Linked DNA regions of Rattus norvegicus. The protein of the gene in region 3 purifies or fractionates together with the protein of the main gene of each other region. This does not show direct contact. Links are inferred from orthologs where the notes say so. Each region holds a gene or a part of one and is shown on either strand. Other genes may lie near its edges.

The links.
Region 1: the proteins of Mettl9 (region 3) and Slc39a10 purify together in Homo sapiens (co-immunoprecipitation; 3 studies listed by BioGRID and IntAct, with this or other methods). This does not show direct contact. The link is inferred for Rattus norvegicus from reciprocal best matches to the Homo sapiens genes METTL9 and SLC39A10.
Region 2: the proteins of Mettl9 (region 3) and Slc30a5 purify together in Homo sapiens (co-immunoprecipitation; 3 studies listed by BioGRID and IntAct, with this or other methods). This does not show direct contact. The link is inferred for Rattus norvegicus from reciprocal best matches to the Homo sapiens genes METTL9 and SLC30A5.

The regions. Positions count from the first base shown.
Region 1 is NC_086027.1:62,403,155-62,409,162, reverse strand, and holds the start of Slc39a10 (zinc transporter ZIP10 precursor), read right to left. Parts: upstream 3,731-6,008; 5' UTR 3,143-3,730; intron 1-3,142. UniProt on the Homo sapiens protein: Zinc-influx transporter. When associated with SLC39A6, the heterodimer formed by SLC39A10 and SLC39A6 mediates cellular zinc uptake to trigger cells to undergo epithelial-to-mesenchymal transition (EMT).
Region 2 is NC_086020.1:33,706,169-33,712,167, forward strand, and holds the start of Slc30a5 (proton-coupled zinc antiporter SLC30A5), read right to left. Parts: upstream 3,731-5,999; 5' UTR 3,582-3,730; coding exon 3,505-3,581; intron 1-3,504. UniProt on the Homo sapiens protein: Together with SLC30A6 forms a functional proton-coupled zinc ion antiporter mediating zinc entry into the lumen of organelles along the secretory pathway.
Region 3 is NC_086019.1:185,006,893-185,013,093, reverse strand, and holds the start of Mettl9 (protein-L-histidine N-pros-methyltransferase precursor), read right to left. Parts: upstream 3,779-6,201; coding exon 3,614-3,778; intron 2,209-3,613; coding exon of another isoform or gene 2,207-2,208; intron 1-2,206. UniProt on the Homo sapiens protein: Protein-histidine N-methyltransferase that specifically catalyzes 1-methylhistidine (pros-methylhistidine) methylation of target proteins.

The DNA.
Region 1 (6,008 bases), on a different chromosome or scaffold from region 3:
CAATTTTCCCCATATTTGGAAAACTGGGGACTAAATGTAATCACAATCAATTTTAAGAAGATGCTTTCTTATTGGCAGCAGTGACCAGCTGGTGGAAAGCCATAGCTAGGTACATCCATGGAAATGCAGTCTAATTAAGGACAGGTGCCAAGAAACGTCAAAGCAAAGCGAACACTAGGGGGCAGCAAACTGTTGAGGATTGTACCGGGCAATCAACTCAGACACAAGACTGATGAGGATATGAGACTGTATTCACTCATTTTGCTCTAAGGACTAGAGATAGAATTCAGGAAGTCATCTGCTAAGACACACCCCAGCCTCTTGTATATTTCTAATGTGAATTACACTGTAATGAAAGATGGCTTAAAATTAAATCACTGTGATCAAAAGCTGCTCTAATTGCCTCTGTTTCTCTTCCAGTTGCAATTGTCTTTCTCTAACATTGGTCCAAAGCACTGTGACAGAGTCCTTTTGATACAAAACTCAGTACTTCCACTTCTGAGGTAGGCACCACATGGATGACTAGTATTTTTACCCAAATGATTTTAAGTCTATGCTGAGTTTGAACTGAAAGTGTCATGGCATAGGGATTCGGGTAAAGGCTTCAGGAATCTGGCTTTGTAAAGAAACCAAAACATACACAGGTAAGTACAGGAAAGAAGTGGAGAAAAGGCAAATCAGCTATTACATATCAGTTACAAATTTAAAAGATGTATCCTCTCAAAGGACTAAGGAGTAGAAACCATTCAGTATCATCCTAGGGTTAATCAATTATCAGGCAAAAAAGAGGGAGGTTTGGGGGTTTCCTAGAGCAATGCTTGCATGCTAAACATTAGGCCTTCTCAAAGTACTTCAACCAGGGTTTAAAGTCTGCTGAGAGCCGAGGGTAACCTCAAAGACTGAGGAAGGTGATCTATGAGTTCCAGGCACACCTGAGCTACACAGGGACGGCACTGAGAAAAACCAAAAGTCTGGACAAAAAAGCGGGATGAGGACAGTAGTTTACAATCTATTAGTGGACTAAGGCTATAAGAAGGAAGACCTAATGCAGGCAGCGCCTCGTTATAAAATCTACAATGTTCTGGGAACTAAAATGCAGGGATTGTGTCTTGATAGGCCTCGGTCAAACTCAACCTCAGGGAAAAGGTTGTAAAATTACCTTCGGTCTAAGTACACTGGCTCATACAAATTAAACGTTGAACTCATGTTTAGAATTGGGTCCTTGACCAAGAAATTCTCCATTATTTAATATATCCAAGTATCTCCCAACTCACAACCAGAAGTTGGCGACACTTCCGGTCCTGAACACTTCGTGAAAAGGGTATTCACTTGCATAGCTCGTGATACATACACTTAAGCTTGAACATCTCCATTATCTGCAGTACTAACGATTAAGCCTAGATTTGTGCAAACCCCGGGTAAGTTTCCTACCACTGAGTTATTTTACTTAACTTTTAAGACAAGCTCCGGGACGCGAACTTGCCAGCTTCCTTCCTCAGTCCCCCGTAGCTGGGTTTATGTCTGTGCCTTATGTACCACCCGAGAAATTCTCTTTCAAAGTAGCGCCAAAACCATTTATTCTTGAACATGGGTTCCTAACCATGATTAGTTGAAAGAATTCAGTTTTGTCAATTTGGGGAGAGATTAAAACCACTGAAATTCAGTTACTTTCTAGTGAGGAAGTAACTTCCTGTTTCTAGGCCAAAATCAGTGATACAAAAACACTTAAATCCTTCAAGTATAGTTTTTAATTCTTGCTAGTTTAAAGTTAGTCATTATTAGGCAGGCCAGTACAGTTGATATTTAATGTTTTATTAAAGCATGGTTTACTCCATCAAACCATGTAGTTTCCCCATAACTGTTTCAAGGTAAATCAACAACTATAGAGATGTATCCTTACCTATCTAAAGTCACGATGAAAAACCCTTCAGTCTAGAAGACATAAAATGTTAAAAAATGCCCACCAGCACATTTTATTTCCTTCACAGCATTTCACTGATGTCTTTCGCCCTGGTGTAACGTCCAAAGCACACCGGAAGTGGGGGTGTGGGGGGTGGATTCCCAAGGTCCAGGAGAAATGACTCACAAGGTAAGTGTAGAATAGGGGAATCCTGACATTACTCTGTACACCGCAGTTTTGCTTTGTTTAGGCTTCCCAACGGCACTGTTACAATTCTAAGCCTCCAGCTCTTGTATTACTTTTTTCTTAATTATCGTTAGATACACATCCAAAAAGAAAACATACAAGAAACCTGTCACCCGCTAGTTACCGCACTTAACAATGGAGACATAAATGTAAGTTTCTAGAAGACGGTAGGTTGTACTGTCTGTTAACTCATGCTTTGTGTCACTTGGAGCAGACACTTTGGTGAAGGACCCTTCCAAATCGGTGGTGGGGCGTCCTGCGGTGAGATTTCTTCCACGTGCCCAGCTCCTTAAACTCGGCCCATGTGGACAGGCTCCCACGTGAACGCGTCTTCTCAGAAGCCGCAGGAAGCCCTTCCACGTCACGCCACCCGACGCCTCGCCAGGCTGGGGAGTTCCGAAGACCCCCCAAGGGAGGAGCGAGGCGTGGAGCGGATGCGGACCCCGCGGCGGGCCGGCCACTTCCCTCCGCTCCCAACCGCGCCCACGCCGCCCTACACCCTGGTGCCCGGGAACAAAGCCCGCGGCCGGGCCACGGTCGTCTCACGACCAGGGCTCGGGGACCGGTGGACTGCGCCACAGCTCCCGCGCGCTCCATCGAGCCTTTTCGGTTGGCCCGGAGCTGAGCGGCCGCCGTCCGTTACCCCCCGCAGACGAGCCCCTGGGACCTGCCTCGGGTCCCGGGTCCCCGTACGGCGGCCGCGGGAAGCCCGCGCAGCCCTCAACAGGCGCCACCCGCCCCGCGTCCCCGCAGCAGGCCGAGGGACACGGGTCCCCACCGCCGCCCGCGGCGCACTCGGCTGGTCCCAGCCCCACGCGCTGCTCTCCTGCTCGCCGCCACCGCCTGCAGCAGCTGCGAACACACGAGCCCCAGCCCGGAGGCCCCGGTGCCAGCCCCAGCCCGGCCTCCCCTGCCGTCCCGGGACTCCCAGGCTCCGCCGCGCACGGGGCCGGTTCTGGGGGAGGGAATGTAAACAAATCGGGGTTTTATAGTTACCTCACACTCGAGTGCCGTGTGCATCTCCTCTCCGCTCGGTACCAAACCCCGGCTGCACCCAGTCGTGTATTCTCCAAAGCCGCCTGCGCTATCTGCGTCGCGGAGCCTAGTGCGCGAGCCGGCGCTCTACGCCGGCGGCGCACTCAGTCTGTTCTGGCGCCCTGCGCAGCCGCACCCTGGCTGCCTCAGCTCTACGCCAGCGGCGCACCCAGCCCTCTCGGGTGCCCTGCGCAGTCGCACCTCGGCCTGATCAGCGCTACGCCGGCGGCGCACTCGCAGCGTCCAGCCATCCACTTCGCGGACGCGCCTGGCGTAGGAGAGCCGCGGCACCGGGGGAGCTACACCGGCAGGCGGAACTGGAAGAAATTATATCTACGCAAGTTGCGGAGCCCTGTAGCTCCGCGCTAGTTTTGTTCGGAGAAAGGACTCCTTGGGGGCAGTTGGGGCGGCTTCTAACGCATGCGTGGAGCGGCCTTGGTCGCCTCTCCTGGCCTCGCACGTAGGTTGCTGAGGCCTTGGGCTAGCGGATGAGACATAGAAGCCCGGAAAGCGAGCGTCCTAGGCCAGAGTTTCGGAGAGATCAATTAGGTTTACTGATCTGTACGCGGGTTAAACAACTATATTAAATTAACTCCGCCCCCTCTGCCCCAGCAACCGTGCCAGTCTGGGCAAAACTAAACTTTGGTGCTTTGTGCAAAGTGTTTTGCATAACTCCCCCCACCGCACCCCCATTTAAAGAGCACTTACAATGGGTTTTCCTGAACAGAAAGGTGTTGACTTTAAAAGTGTCACGTAATTATGATAGCTTTGGGTACCCATCCAAGGACTTTCCCCAACCTTAACTACTGGAACAGTTTTACACCCAAAGGCAAGACCCCGATCCACCCAGCAACACCGGTGGACTCATGCCTACATCCTGCCGGTTCTTGCATCCCTTTGCTCACACCGCCATTCTCAATGGCCTCCTCCCCTCTTAAGCAACTAACAACCCACAATTTTCTTAAAAGGAGGCTGGGCAAACCTTTTGCTTCATTATTCATTGCTCTGCTTCCTGGCTTTTAATTCATGTCTAGGCTTATTTGTATTCTGCCCAGAAGCCTGTGTTTCTGTATTCAAGCTGAGCGCACTTACTAGTGAAAGTGAATTCTGGGGGTGGGTGCTTTATGGACCAACAGGGTGCATATAACTCTGAGCAATAGTAATTGCCAGCTTTATGTGTCAGGTACCTTCAACATGCTTTCCATGTATATTAATTTAATACTCCTAACAGACTGAAGAATGATTACCCAGGAAGTAAAGTCCTAGGGAATAAGGAACTTGCCTGAGAGAACTGAGGAGAGGCATAGAGAGGCATAGAGAGCCAAACCTATTCAGCATGGCTACCGCGGCCTGTCTGGCAGCCTCGAACTCCTTGAAAGAAGCTGTTTGCCTTTTGTTTTTACCTGTGTATGAAACAGCTTCCAGGTGCTCAATAAATATCTGACTGAAAGCACATTGAGCTTCTCATATCCCTCTTTCTCTCACATGGAGAAGCCAACCAATCCATGACCTAACTCCGGCTGCCAAAGGAAGACATTCTGAGAAGTCATGAGGCCTTGCCCTTAGTGGAAGAAGATGGTGGAGTGACCACAGTCCTCAAACCCAGGAGTTAATCTGGGGATTACACAAACAGTAATGACTTCAGTTATACAGGATTTATCAGTAGATCCTTTTGGTGCAAAGCATAAAAATATCCAAATTGCCGTGATATTTTAAGGCTTGTAATTATCTGATAAAACACATTGTCAACTTCTTTAAAATATATAACACCTTCCAAACAAGCTAGAGCTCTTGAGCCAGTGTTCCCAGCACCACCAGTGTTTTGGGGATATTTGCTTACAAACCAAGTGTTCACCTGGTTTGCACAGGTTTATCTAAATACTCGGTTAAACACTGAAGTGTGGCCATGAAAAGCAATCAACAGCCACAGCCGTTAGTGGGATTCTTCCATACTCCCCAATCTCTCACGGTCCTTTCAAAATTTTCCAGAATTCCACATTGTGGCAACTAGAGGGCTAAAGCTTCAGTCACAGCATTATTTCATGTATATGTATCTGAAATTTAAAGGTACCCGTTTTACCTCTATGAGGCAGTATAAGGAACCCAACGAACCCTTTAGTTCTTCCAAGGATTAGAAAAGAGCCAACTATAACAATGGAAATATGAATCACAGCCCACCTTGGACTTTAACTGTCACTAAGGGAAGCCCACGGCGGAGGCCCAGCTTTCCTTCTAATTTTGGAGAAAGTGCTTCCCATCCACAGCACAGTTACGGTGGTAATGAAATCTACAAAGGGCAGGACAGAGTCCACGGAATCAGACCTTTCCAACTCAGCTGTTCTCTTCATGAATCAAGATTACTAATAACGAATGATTTAAAAAAACAAAACTACTTGAATTCGGTTGAATCTAAACACTGATTTTCCGAATAGGTTTGGATCAGCCTAGAGAAATCATTAAGAGAAGAAGAGTAAACGGAGTGCAAACCAAGGCACCGAGCACAGGAATAGATATTTAAGACCTGGGAAGGGAAGGTGTCAGGGACCTATAAGCACAGATCTGAATGTAGGCTTCAAACTAACAGTTACCCATCATTTCTAGAGGCTCTGTATTCATACTTGAGGGTGAAATCCCAGCTCTGCAGATCTTCCTGTTTCTCAAGAGCAAGACTTAGTGTCTGAAAAGCCAACTCTTTGACATAGCACAGGAAGATAGGCCAACATAGCCTCAGTAAGGGACAATTTTGACTGATTGCTGGGCCTGGGACATTAGGTAATAATGTCAGAGATCTGCAGAGGCAGACTGAAGCTATGAAAAAGCACACATT
Region 2 (5,999 bases), on a different chromosome or scaffold from region 3:
GCTCCAGGTCTTCAGGAAAGAACAGGCAGACAGACAGACAAACAGACAGACAGACAGACTACACAACCCAAGTAAGTTGACAGATGCTTCTAAAAGATGTGGTAAAGAAGTGAAAGGGTATTTCCACAGTTAAGATATGTGTACAATAAATATAAATCAAGAGTTAAGCAAGAAAAGGGAAGGGAAGGCTCTGCCAGAGCAAAGAGGAGCAGAGACAAAAATGTGAGCACTAGGCAGGAGACCTTGAAGGTCCTAGTATATTAAGTTTAGTTCAATCTAGCCAGTTTAGTTTAATTTAGCAATAGATTGCTTATGATTAAAATCAAGGAAAAGCCAAACTACACTTAACATACTTGTTTTACAAAGATTATAGATTCCTCTATAAAGTATTAAAAATTTAAAAGGTGGGTCTTGAAGGAGAGATATGAAGGAATTCATATAAAATACTCATTGATAATATATTAGTAAACTAACCTTATTTTCATATATACATATGTGCATTGCACCCGAGAGGTAATAATGCTAATTCTCGAGTAGCTGATTATGGGAAAGGTTTTAAATAAAATCACTTCTAGCTTTCTCCTCACAGGTAAACAATTTACAAACCTGTTCCTATGTGTGTCAACAAATATTTTCTTCACATTTGCAGTTGTACACATATTGTGATATTAAAATCTTTCATACAATATGCACTCAAGATCTTTTTGCTGTAATTATCAAATTAGGAAAAAACACTTCAACTTTTAAACTTCTTTGATTTAAAAAATTCCCTTGGGGTTGGGGATTTAGCTCAGTGGTAGAGCGCTTGCCTAGGAAGCGCAAGGCCCTGGGTTCAGTCCCCAGGACCGAAAAAAAAGAACCAAAAAAAAAAAATTCCCTTATTACATATATTATTATCATTATTATTGTTAATGTGTGTGCACACACATGCATGCATAAGAGCATATGAAGTCAGAGAATTTGTGAGAGCTGGCTCTCTCCTTCTACCACGTGGGTCCTGGGGGTCAAACTCAGTCATAAGTCTTGGCAGCAAGAGCCTATACCTGTTGAACCATCTTGCTGGCTCCTGTGTTTTTTTTCAAGTCAGGGCTTCTTTTTGTAGATCTGGCCTGACGCTCTGCCTCTCAAACACTGGGATTAAACTCGTGCCCTACCACATCCTGAAGCTTCTGTATTCTTTGACTTCTAAAGTTCTTTGAAGCACTAGTTAAGGCTAAGTAACCATATACAGAATCACTGTTAAGGGGGAAACGATTGGCAGGTGAAGACAGGGATGGGAGACAGGCTCTTACACAGGACACTGAGCCTCAGGGCAGTGCAGGAACATTCAACCCAGCCCCCAACTTAGAAATCACTGTTTGCTATGAAGTGATCAAATAAAAAATGTAACTGGTCTTCTATGAGGTCAGACATTTCCTCAGTTCTCTGTACTTGCAATTATTAAATTTTAGATTTGAGTTTATAGTTCCTTCCTGAAATGAGTCATCACTGCCACTCAGTCTCTAGATATCAAAGGAGAGGAGGAAGGCATCGAGGGGCTCGAGGGAGAAGGTGCCCCAACAGTATACATACATAAACACTTTTCAACCGGTTCAGTGGGGAGGAGTGCTTGCTGTGTAGTGTGAGCTTGAACCCCTGGCTTTCACATGAGGCCAGGGTAGCAGTCACTGCCCTGCAGAGGCAGAGGGCTGCTAGGCTAGCTCCAGGCTCAGTGAGGAACCCTGTCTCAAGGGGATAAAGCAGGCCACACCAGCACACAATTCACATACAAACAAAGCTGCTGACCATGCACAGTGGTCTATGCCAGCACTCACACACCTCAGGAAGGAGGCGGCCAGCTTGGACACCACAGTATGATATATATGTATAATAACAACAACAGTTCAATTCATTGAATACATGTTCAAGCATTCATAGGTGTAAACAGAAGGCAATGGATTCTGAAACAACCCACACTACCAGGTCATTCATTAGCCTTGTGACCTTAGGCAACTCAATTTCCTGACCTACCAAACAAGGCTACCACCACTTAGCCTGTAGGGTTCTTGAAAAGATTAAAGGGAGGTATACATTAAGAGTCTTTGGGGCATAGGAGGTACTTGGCAAATGCTGGCTGTCCTGACCATCAAAGATTTAATGAAGTCACGATACAAACCTTTATTTAAAACATTTGGGCACTCAGGCATAAAAATAACCACAATGAAAGGGCCTGATCATTTTTGTTGCTGTTAATAACCAGTGCTTGAACATACAGAAAACTCCGGCAACCTGAAATCCCTTAAAATTCAGCCAGCTCTGGGTCAAAATTTGAGTTCTGAAATAACCTACAATAGAAGGGCAGCTCTACTAAGCAAATAATGTAGGTAAGTTGGCAAAGGATGTTTACCATATTTGTCTAGGACAGTAGCCTCTAAGGCAAAACCACTTAAACTACTCATACTCTCTCAACTCCCTCCCTCTCATACACAAAACCCTTGAGCTGTTTGAGAATAAATGAAGTATGGTCACATTTTACCCCTAAACATCTCTATTTCCTAAAAATATGGCAACTCTGCCTATGAAATCAGGAGTTATGAACGGGAAATTTAACAATGATCTGATACTTTAATCTGTCTCCATGGTTCAATTTTGTGAAGTGACCTAGTCTTGTCCCTTCTAGTATTTCCCTCTATTACCAATCCATAGCAGTAGCCCCTGCTGCAACTAGCTGTTATGGGTCACTGGTTAACACGTGACGTGCTATAAATGAATTGCTGAAAATAGAAAACCAAATGCATTCTGCAAATCCCGCAGTTGGTTTAAAATCTATTCAGCATATGTGTCTTTTCACAGATAAAAGTAAGCTGGTAACGCTGTAACCTCGGTCTAAGAACATTATCAAAAGCAATCACGAAATCTCAGAGTACATACTGATTATCAGTTTGAACGAAACTTTGGGCTTTAACACTACCTCCGAACTTAGGACAGGACAGGAAGGACACAACTGGCTCGCGCCAGTGTACACTACTCGGTCCTTGCCTTTAGGTTGGAGGGAAGGTAAAGAAGAATTTTCATGCTACGAATTCCTGTACGGTATGAGTTTTGGGGGGGGGGAGAGGGGTAACAGATATCTCTTACTATTAAAATAAGTCCCCATCCCTCTCCACAAAACCACGGCAAAGAAAACTCGATGGCAGGGTTGCATTTTTGCTGTGCTGTACACCGAAGTTCATCGGCTTGTACTTTGGTTTCCTCGCCTGAGACGGTGACACCTTCCGCTTATCCTCTCGGCGAGCCCTGGAACAAGCTAAGGAGCTCTGCGTTACCTAAGTGGCAGGGAGGAACATTCAGGTCCTCTCTCTAGGGACTGCAAACTGGCAGGACCTGCAAACTCAGGTGCGTTCTGAGCCCGGACTCCCGCCCGCTCGCGGATCTCAAGCCATGGACCGTAGAGGTAGCCGGCGGGGTCCGAGCAAGGCGGGGAAGCTTGTCCGCACCGCCGCCGGCCGTTGAATCCCTCCTTACCGGGCGCTGGGCACGTCCACCGGCCCGAGGCCGCCGCCGGGCCCGGGCCGCGGGTCCCCGCCGTACTTCTCCTCCATGCCGGCTCAGGAGCCGCTGCCCACGCCGCGGGCTCTCCTCATGTCTTGCTGCCGCTGCGGAAGCGCGGGCGCAGGCGCGTCACTCCCCCATTTCAGTCGCGTCCTCTCAGGCTCAGCAGTCCCCACCGCTAGCCCGGGCTCGGCAGGTAGGAGCACGCACGTTGGGCGGGATTAGGCCGCGGGCTGTTCCGGCAGCGCCGATCCCCGGAGGCCGTACGGGCAGGGACGTTACCGGGCCACGTCATCCGCCCCGGCAGCCCTCACTCCCGGGGGAGTGACCAATCCTGCGCGTGCGCGCAGCTGGACACGTGTCTCCTCTCGGCTCAGGCTCCTCCCACCGCAGAGAAGGCTCGGATCGACCCGCCCCCTACTCGCGTCTTCTAGAGAAGCACCTTACCGGTCCCTGCAGCGCCACCTAAGGTCCATCTCGGCTACAGCTTGTTCTCCTTGCGCGTGGGATGGATGGTCCCCTAGAAAGTGCACTTTGTGTTAACAAACAGAGCTTAGCCCTTAGCGACAGAGTTCTTTTTCAAACGGCTTCACTCTGTAGCCCAGGTAGGTCTAGAACTCAGCATGTAGCCCAGGCTAGCCTTGTAAACCTGCGCATTGAATTTACAGGTCTGAGCCACATATAGACGCTGCAAACTCAAAATATGTGTGAAGTGCATTAACTTTTTTTTCTAATGAGAAAGCTAAAAGATTCTTAAAGTACCTGTGACTCCCACAAAGAAATAACTTTTTTTTTTGATTTCTGATGATACTATAACACAGGGTGGGAGGCTGGAAGGATATGTCTACTGAAAAAAATGGAGAAAGGCAACTGCTTTTGTGGATTTAATTGTTGGGCAGGAGTACTGGCTATATGGCTAACCTGCTCAAATGTCTGAGAGACCAACCCAGAAGGTGTGCGATGATAAACAATTTTATCTCCTTTTTGAAAATACAGTTTTCTTCAGTTCTGCCTTTGAAATGATACTGCTTAATGTAGACACATCTATATAAAAGCTATTTTTCACAGGCACCTAGATCTCTATTGGTCTGAGTCTCAATACTTAATAATTGTGGTCACCTTGGTTAGCATGGTGGTGCATGCCTGTAATCCCAATTATAGCCAGAGGCAGTTTGAAGCCAGCCTGGGCTACACATTGAGTTCTAAGCTAGCCAGGGCTACAAGGCAATGTCCTGTCTCAAAAGGAACAAGAAAAGCAATAAACAATTAGTTTTCCTCCTCTTTGTCGTTGTTGTTTTTGGTTATATAGAAACCAATCTCATGTAGCCCAGGCTGGGCTTCAGCTTGATATCTAGCTAAGAATGGCCTGGAACTCTGATCTCCTGGCTTCTCTTCCAAGTGCTGGCATTACAAACATGCACACTGTCCCTGGAAAGAAGGAATATCTGTATTCTAAAGCTGTTCAGAGGGAAGTAAGCAGGGTGGACTACTACTCAGTCAATGTTAACTGTTACTGTTACACGTTAACTGTTACTCAAGGATGTTCAGACTGGTGCTTTGAAGAGGAAAGTGGGGTTTGCAGCAGGATAAGTCATAATCAGTTGATATTACACTAGTGGATTTGAACACACACAGAGAGTCTAAGCGACAGGTATATGAGCAACAGACCGAAAGTTTTTTGCCTTTAAACCTGCTGTGGAGAATAGTTAGCAAGCTAGAGCAAGACTTAGCTGTCGTGGTGTTACATGGTAGACTCCCGAGGGTTCCCAAATAGCATCTGATAAACAGGGAAGGCTGAGGGAAGAGTTTGTAAGTCATTTCATATCCATACATATCCATACATTAAAAACAACAACAACAACAACGACGCCATGTGCTGTGCTCCTCCCAGGAGGAGGATCAGGAGTTCAGGGAAATCCTCAGAGTTTAAAGGCCTGCCTGGTTACAAGAGACACTGGAGAGGGGGAAGGGGAGAGGAGGAGGGAGGGAGGGGGAGGGAGTAGAGGAGGGGAGGAGGGAGGGGGAAGGGAGAAGAAGGGAAAAGAAGAGAGAAGGGGGGGGAAGGGAAGGGAAGAAGAAAGCAAAGAAACTCTCATGGGTTGACAGTCTTTCCCGAGACCTCAGGAAAGGTTCTCCATATGCTACATGCGGAGCAGCGAGGCAGGTACAGTCTGGAGAAGCTATAGGTACTCACACTCCTATGAAGCAGGTAAAAGACGGCAATATAACACACCCTCACTGCAGTTGTTTGTATCGTGCATGTGTGTGTGTGTGTGTGTGTGTGTGTGTGTGTGTGTGTACAAAATAGTGGGTTTCAATGGGACTTTATTGTTTTTTTTTTTTTTTCGGAGCTGGGGACCGAACCCAGGGCCTTTCGCTTGCTAGGCAAACACTCTACCACTGAGCTAAATCCCCAACCCCGACTTTATTGTTTTTTAAACTCAAAATGTATATGGATTTCTTTTCCG
Region 3 (6,201 bases):
AATTTTAAGTGACCTCTAAATAATTCCAGATATTAAATGCCATATGTGGAAAAACAATTTGAAATTTTTCACCTGAGGAAACTGCAACGGCTTGGTGCCAACATGTTTTACAACAACCTTTCGATCCGTCAATTGAGAGGCTGTGGATGACTGTTATTACCAAGTATCTAGTAACTGGAGCCTTGAGGAGCCTTTCAAGTTTCAATAGCTCCATAATAGCTCCTTAGCTGCAAGCACTAGGTAGAATGCACTCAAAGCACTTCATCCAAAGGTTTTGTGTTGTTCTCTTTTTTATGTTCTGTGGGCTGACAATGACAAGTGACATCTAGCTCTTGCTACTCTCTCTTTCCCCCCAGAGTCCATCCTCCCATCCTGTGACTGAGAATTGTACAGGTGACCAATGAAGTCAGGAATTTTCTCTTGGGAGGAATAAACAGATTTTTAATTTAAACAGATTTTAAAAGCTATATACTTTTAAAAGGGCAGAGAAGATACTGTTGCTCACTGATTACTCAACTCTATGTCTTCACCCTGCACACACACACACTCAGGGGTACAGACCATAGCTGAACCAATGTGGTGGCTGTTTCAACAAAAACTCTGACACTTGAATTTCATATGTGAAATTCTCATGTTACAAAATACTATTTTCCACACCCACTGTTAACCACTTAAAAACATGAGACTATTCTTAATTCACAGGCCACTTAAGTCAGTGAGACTAGTCTGGTCATGCCCCTTCTCCAAAGGAGCCCTTGCTCCTCACAAGGTAAAGCCTAACTCAGTTCTGAAGTTCGTACACTGGACTGAGGTACTGAGTCTTCAAGTTAAGCCCTTGTTTACCTTGAGCCTTGATCTCTAGCTCTAACTACTCCACAGCAATGTTTAATGACTAAACATTACCAAAACCCTGCAGCCTAAGTCCTTCCTAAGACACTCCAAGGAAACCTGTGCTGAGTATGGGGTAGCCCATAATTCTTCTTTCATGAAACTCCAACAGAACCAGATGCTGCTGGCCTTGGAACCCACACACCCAAATGAACACCAGAAAACCTCTATAAAACTATTAATTTGAAGAGGGGAAGCCATTAAAGCTACTTCACAAGCAAGAAAGTTATGTAGCAAACCAGGATTCTGGAATATAAAAGAAATAAACCATATGCTCTGCTGGGGTGCAGAAAGGACACCCTCCCACTCTGCATTAGTTCTTGGTGGCTTCTAGGCACGCACTTTCGTCCTGGTCATTTTCCTCTTTACTCACAGACATTTTCCTAACAAATGTATTCACCTCAAAAATAATGTCTGGCAGAGTATAATGATGCACACTTAAAATAATCCCAGTACTCAGAAGGCCAAGGCAAAGGGATGTCATCCTGATGTTATTCTGATGTCATCCTGAGCTACACAGTCCCTGTCTCAAAAAACTAAGGGTAGCCAGGTGGTGCGTGCCTTTAATCCTAGCACATAAGAGGCAGAGGTAAGCAGATCTCTGAGTTCAGTATCAGCCTCATCTACTAATTGAGTTCCAGGATACCCAGAGCCACACAGAGAAACCCTATCTAGAAAAACAAACAAAATAAACAGCCAAAGAGCAGCCAGCCATGATCATGGAACACCTGTAATTCTAGCATTCTGGAAACTGAGACAGAAATTGCTTTGAGTTCAAAGTCAGCCTGGACTACATAGAAGTACTAGGCCAGCCAGAGCTACATGGCCCTGTTTCAAAATTACAGACTGACTGACTGACTGACTGACTGACTGACTGACTGACTATGGATGTGGCTCAGTGGTACAGTACTTGTCTAGCATGTACAAGTCCTGAGTTTGATCCTCAACACCACAGAAATAAACGAACGTATGCAGTTAGAAAATGCCCTCTACTGGGAAACACTGAGATTGTGTTCACTGCCACCATTTCTCCTGGGCTCTACAGTAACTAATTTTTCAGTTTTTAAAATAAGTTCAATTTTAAAAGTTTTTTTAAAAAAATATTGTGTGTGTCCACGTGCACACACTCATGTGCTAAAGAGGTCCAGAGATTTCCAATCCTGCAGGAGCTGGAGTTAGAGTTGTGAGCTGTCTGATGTAGGTACTGAAAATTGAACAGCACATTCTCTTAACTACTGAGCCATCCCATAAGCACAATGTTTATGACCACTTAAATCAAGCCACTGCAGTAATCACAAGTGTTATCATAAATACCAACAACTGGGAGACTCAACCATAATTCCTCATAGGGAATAATCATTTTTTTCTATCCACTCCATGTTAAACACAGCATTTCCAAGTTCTTGTACCACATGGGCAAGAGGCACCTGATCCTGTATAATTACCAGTGTAGTACTTCAGAGTTGTCTCTATGACACTGAGCCACCATAAAATAGTCCGTGGCAAAAAGCATGGTTATACAATTTAAGATTGTATACTAAGTTTATATGCACTCCCAACAGACCCACATAAAGGTCATCTAAAACACCACGATCACTAGGGAATTTAAAATAATGTAAATCTAGGATTCCTTCCAAAATAGAAAATGAAGTCTGAGTATTGATCAAGTTTCCAGGACCTGAGTTCCATCCCAACATCATAAAAAACAACACAACCCAGTACTTAGCAAATAAAACCATAATGCTACTTTTATACATAAAAAGGTGAGGTTCAAATGACACGAGGAATAATTCCTTACATCTCTCTGTAAAACAAGATGTACTAAACTCGGGCATTTAGAAGCCCAAAGTTTGTCTAAATTCAAAGGCTTCTTCTCTTCTGTGACTGCAAGGTTAACCACAAACTACTTACAGTCAAATATCTCCCTCTTAATTCAACAGCTGACCCATGTATGTTTCTTTAAGTGGTAGAAATAGCTAAGGAAAAGACCATCCAAACCCATCCTACTGGTAGAACCCCCCCTCCCCTCCGCACCCCACCACGGCTCACAATCCATAACTACAGGAATTCACAGCTGTAAAGTTCAGATTGTAAAAACCTCTCCCTCTAAAGCTTGCATCATCTTGCTCCTCCTTCCAACCTTTCTGGTCAGCTAACTAAACCCAAGTTTAAAGGACACGTCTCATAGGCAGAGGGGGAGGAGGGTTCCTAGGCTGGGAGCCCAGACCTGTCAAACACATTTTTTAAGTGCTTCGGGGAAATGTCAGTCGAAACGTTCACGAGGCCCAGTTAAATGTCTTTATAACCCTTTGTATATCCAGAGAGTCGGCTAGACAAAAAGAGACCGGCTTTCGGGTTTTGTTCCTCTGAGGGAGAGGAGGGCTGGGGCGGTTTTCTGCTCAGGCCCCTGTGCCAGTTGTGTGGCCCACCCCAAAGTTGCTCGGGTCCGGAGGCCAGACGCGGACGCCCGGCGAGGACGCGGCGGACGGCCTGGAACAATGCGGGGCTCCGGGGCGCCCACGCTGGGGCCTGGGGAGCCAGGCAGCAAAGGCTGTCCCCCGCCCGCGCCGCCAAACAAAAGGCGCCGCTGGGCCAGCGCCCGGGCCCGGAAAAGTTTGTGAGAGGCTGGGGCCGAGGCCCGCGCGCGCCGCCCCGCACAATGGCCCGGCCGAGCGCGGGAAGGCCGAGCGCCACGCCCCCGCTCCGCAGGGCCGCGGCCCAGTACCTGGTGCGTGTCCTTCCCGCCGCCCGTGGCCGCCGCTGGCCCGCCAGGGCCGCTAGTCATGTTCACGTACAGAGAGCGGGAGAGCGGGCTCCGCAGCGTCCACATCCTCCGCGCCAGCCACACGGACGCCAGGCTCAGGCACAGCCAGCCCGCCAACAGTCTCATCGGGGGGCCGCGGCCGCCAGCTCGGATCACCGCCGGGCCCAAGCCCAGGAGGAGGAGGAGGAGCCGCCGCCTCCGGCCACCGTCGTCGCCGCCGGAGCTCGAGCCATCGCCGCCAAGTCGCCCGTGCAGCCCCCTTCGGGGCCGAGGCGGGGAGGTGGGAGGAGCGGCAGGCGCACGGCCTTCTCACGTCCCCCGCGGCCCTTCCCGACCCGGAACGCCAAGGACTCCAGCTCCGGTTTCCACCCGGTGCACGTACAAATGCAGGAGGGGCGTTCTCCCTGCCCAATGAGCGGAGACGGGGAGGCCCGGGAGGTGGAAGAAAGGGCGTATACGTTCTCCGTGGCGCCGCCTGGACTCATAATGGCGGAAGGTTGGGGGAGACTTCTTACAGGGGTTACTGGACTCTTGACGCTCCGAGGAGGGCCTGCAGGACTTCCGGTCTTTCCTTGCCTTAGTAATAACTACCCAATGGGCCCCTCGACTACTCCTTTGACCTAAATGTTCACACTGACTCGAGGACGAAGGGACCTCATCCCTTTCCCGAGTCGTGATACACTCAGACCCAGCTTAATTCGACAGACCAGCGCTGCCCTTCTTGCTACAGTCATGTCTATTTAATAATTCTGTCTGGGGTCAGCGAACCTGACTCCCAACTCAAAAAACCACCCGGTAGCGGAGAATCTAGGGGAAAAAGGACCTCACTGCTACTCCCAGCCCCAGCATTCCTAAGCCTGAGGAGCTGCTGTCACAGGTCTTCACATGAAGCCTTCATGAATGGAAGCTCTGCTTTGTTGGAAGCTGATGCTGCTGGAGCACTCAGTGAAATGTGATGGAAAATAACAACTTTTCGACAACAAAGGCCACAACTTTCCTTGTTTCCTTGAGCTGACAGAAGTTGGGCCAGGCACTCAGTCTGGGGAGATGTAGCCAGATGTTTCTTAGATCATTTATAGCGGGAAGAAGCCCAATGTTTCTAAACTGAGGGTTCCTGTGTCTCAACTTCCTGTTGTTACTAAGCTACAACTAGAGAGTAACATATTTCCTAGCCCAGCTACTCACATCTTCCTAGGTTTGGAAAAACACGATTTTCATTTGACAGCACCAGAGATTCTGTACATTCTTTAGTATAAAACAATTCATCTTTATATTAATTTCATCACACTACATTAATGAGATTTCCATTTATGAAATAGTGTCCCAGAGATGAGAAATGTCACCCCTTACCACAAACTCTTTAGGTGTTAAAGAATCTCTGCCTTCTTTCCATATTAAGAATATTTTATTACCTAATGTGCATAGAATATAACAAAATACTTCATATTCTCTCATTCTGGTATATTCCCTGACATCTCCCTGTTAGGTATAAAACCAAAGACTAAACCTTGCTAAATTATGCTCAACTTTCCAGAAGTACTGGTCCAACATACATAAAAGAAGCTATAATAGTGAGTGCAAATGACTGTATTATGTCACCTCTTTGAGCTCCAATAAAGTTCTTCTGTACCAAATCAGAGTCCTCATCTTTTTTAGGTAAAGAGGAGATGCAAAGCAACAAGCGTGCATAACCAGGCACACTTCATTACTAAAGACAAAGAATACAGAGAACTGTGCCTTAACTGTACATTAAGCTTGCTTAACCACAGCTCCAAGACCTCAAAATGTGTCCTCTAAACAAGAACCAAAGAATTTGAGATCAACTGACAGTTAAAAAGCCTACCAAATTTTGCTTTATGCCTGAGCAGCTCACCTAGGAAAAAGTAAATTACCCTCACATTCAAACTACACTACAATCACAAACTATTTGTGTGATTTACATTTAGGGAGCACAGGAGGAAATGAAAGCACAGCATAAGCAAATTAAAAGCAAATTCGATAGCAAACCTTCTTAAAGAGGGTGGCATCCCCGCTTCTGGCTGCTTGATCCATCCAAGAAGCCTTGTCGTCTCTCCTCTCAGCCTCCTGAATTACAAATCAGGAGGAAGGAAAGCTGCAAGAGTAAATATACCAAGCAGAAGTTCAGATTGCCCTCTGGGACAGCCCCCTCTTACCATGTCACTACTGTACATTAAAACCTCAGTTATCCATGATGGGAACAGCAAGAGGCACCTCTAATACAGAAAGCCAACTGTGAGCCAATATCCTTTCCAATGTGGTTTTGAAGTGTAGGCAGTGGCACTCAAGAGTCACATACCTGCTGTCTTGTGCCTGCTGACTTCGAGTGTCTTGCCTGGGTTTCTGTTCTATTACCAGAAATTGTGGCTCGGTTACTTTACAAATACCCAGGCAAGTAGCTTGTTTCTTAAGCAACTTCCCCCAACTCTTCCCTTACCTCCCCCTCCCCTTCATCCTCTCTCTTTAACCCTTCTTTCCTTTTCATCGGGCCTTGTTATACAGGCTAAGCTGGCCTTGAACTCACAATCATC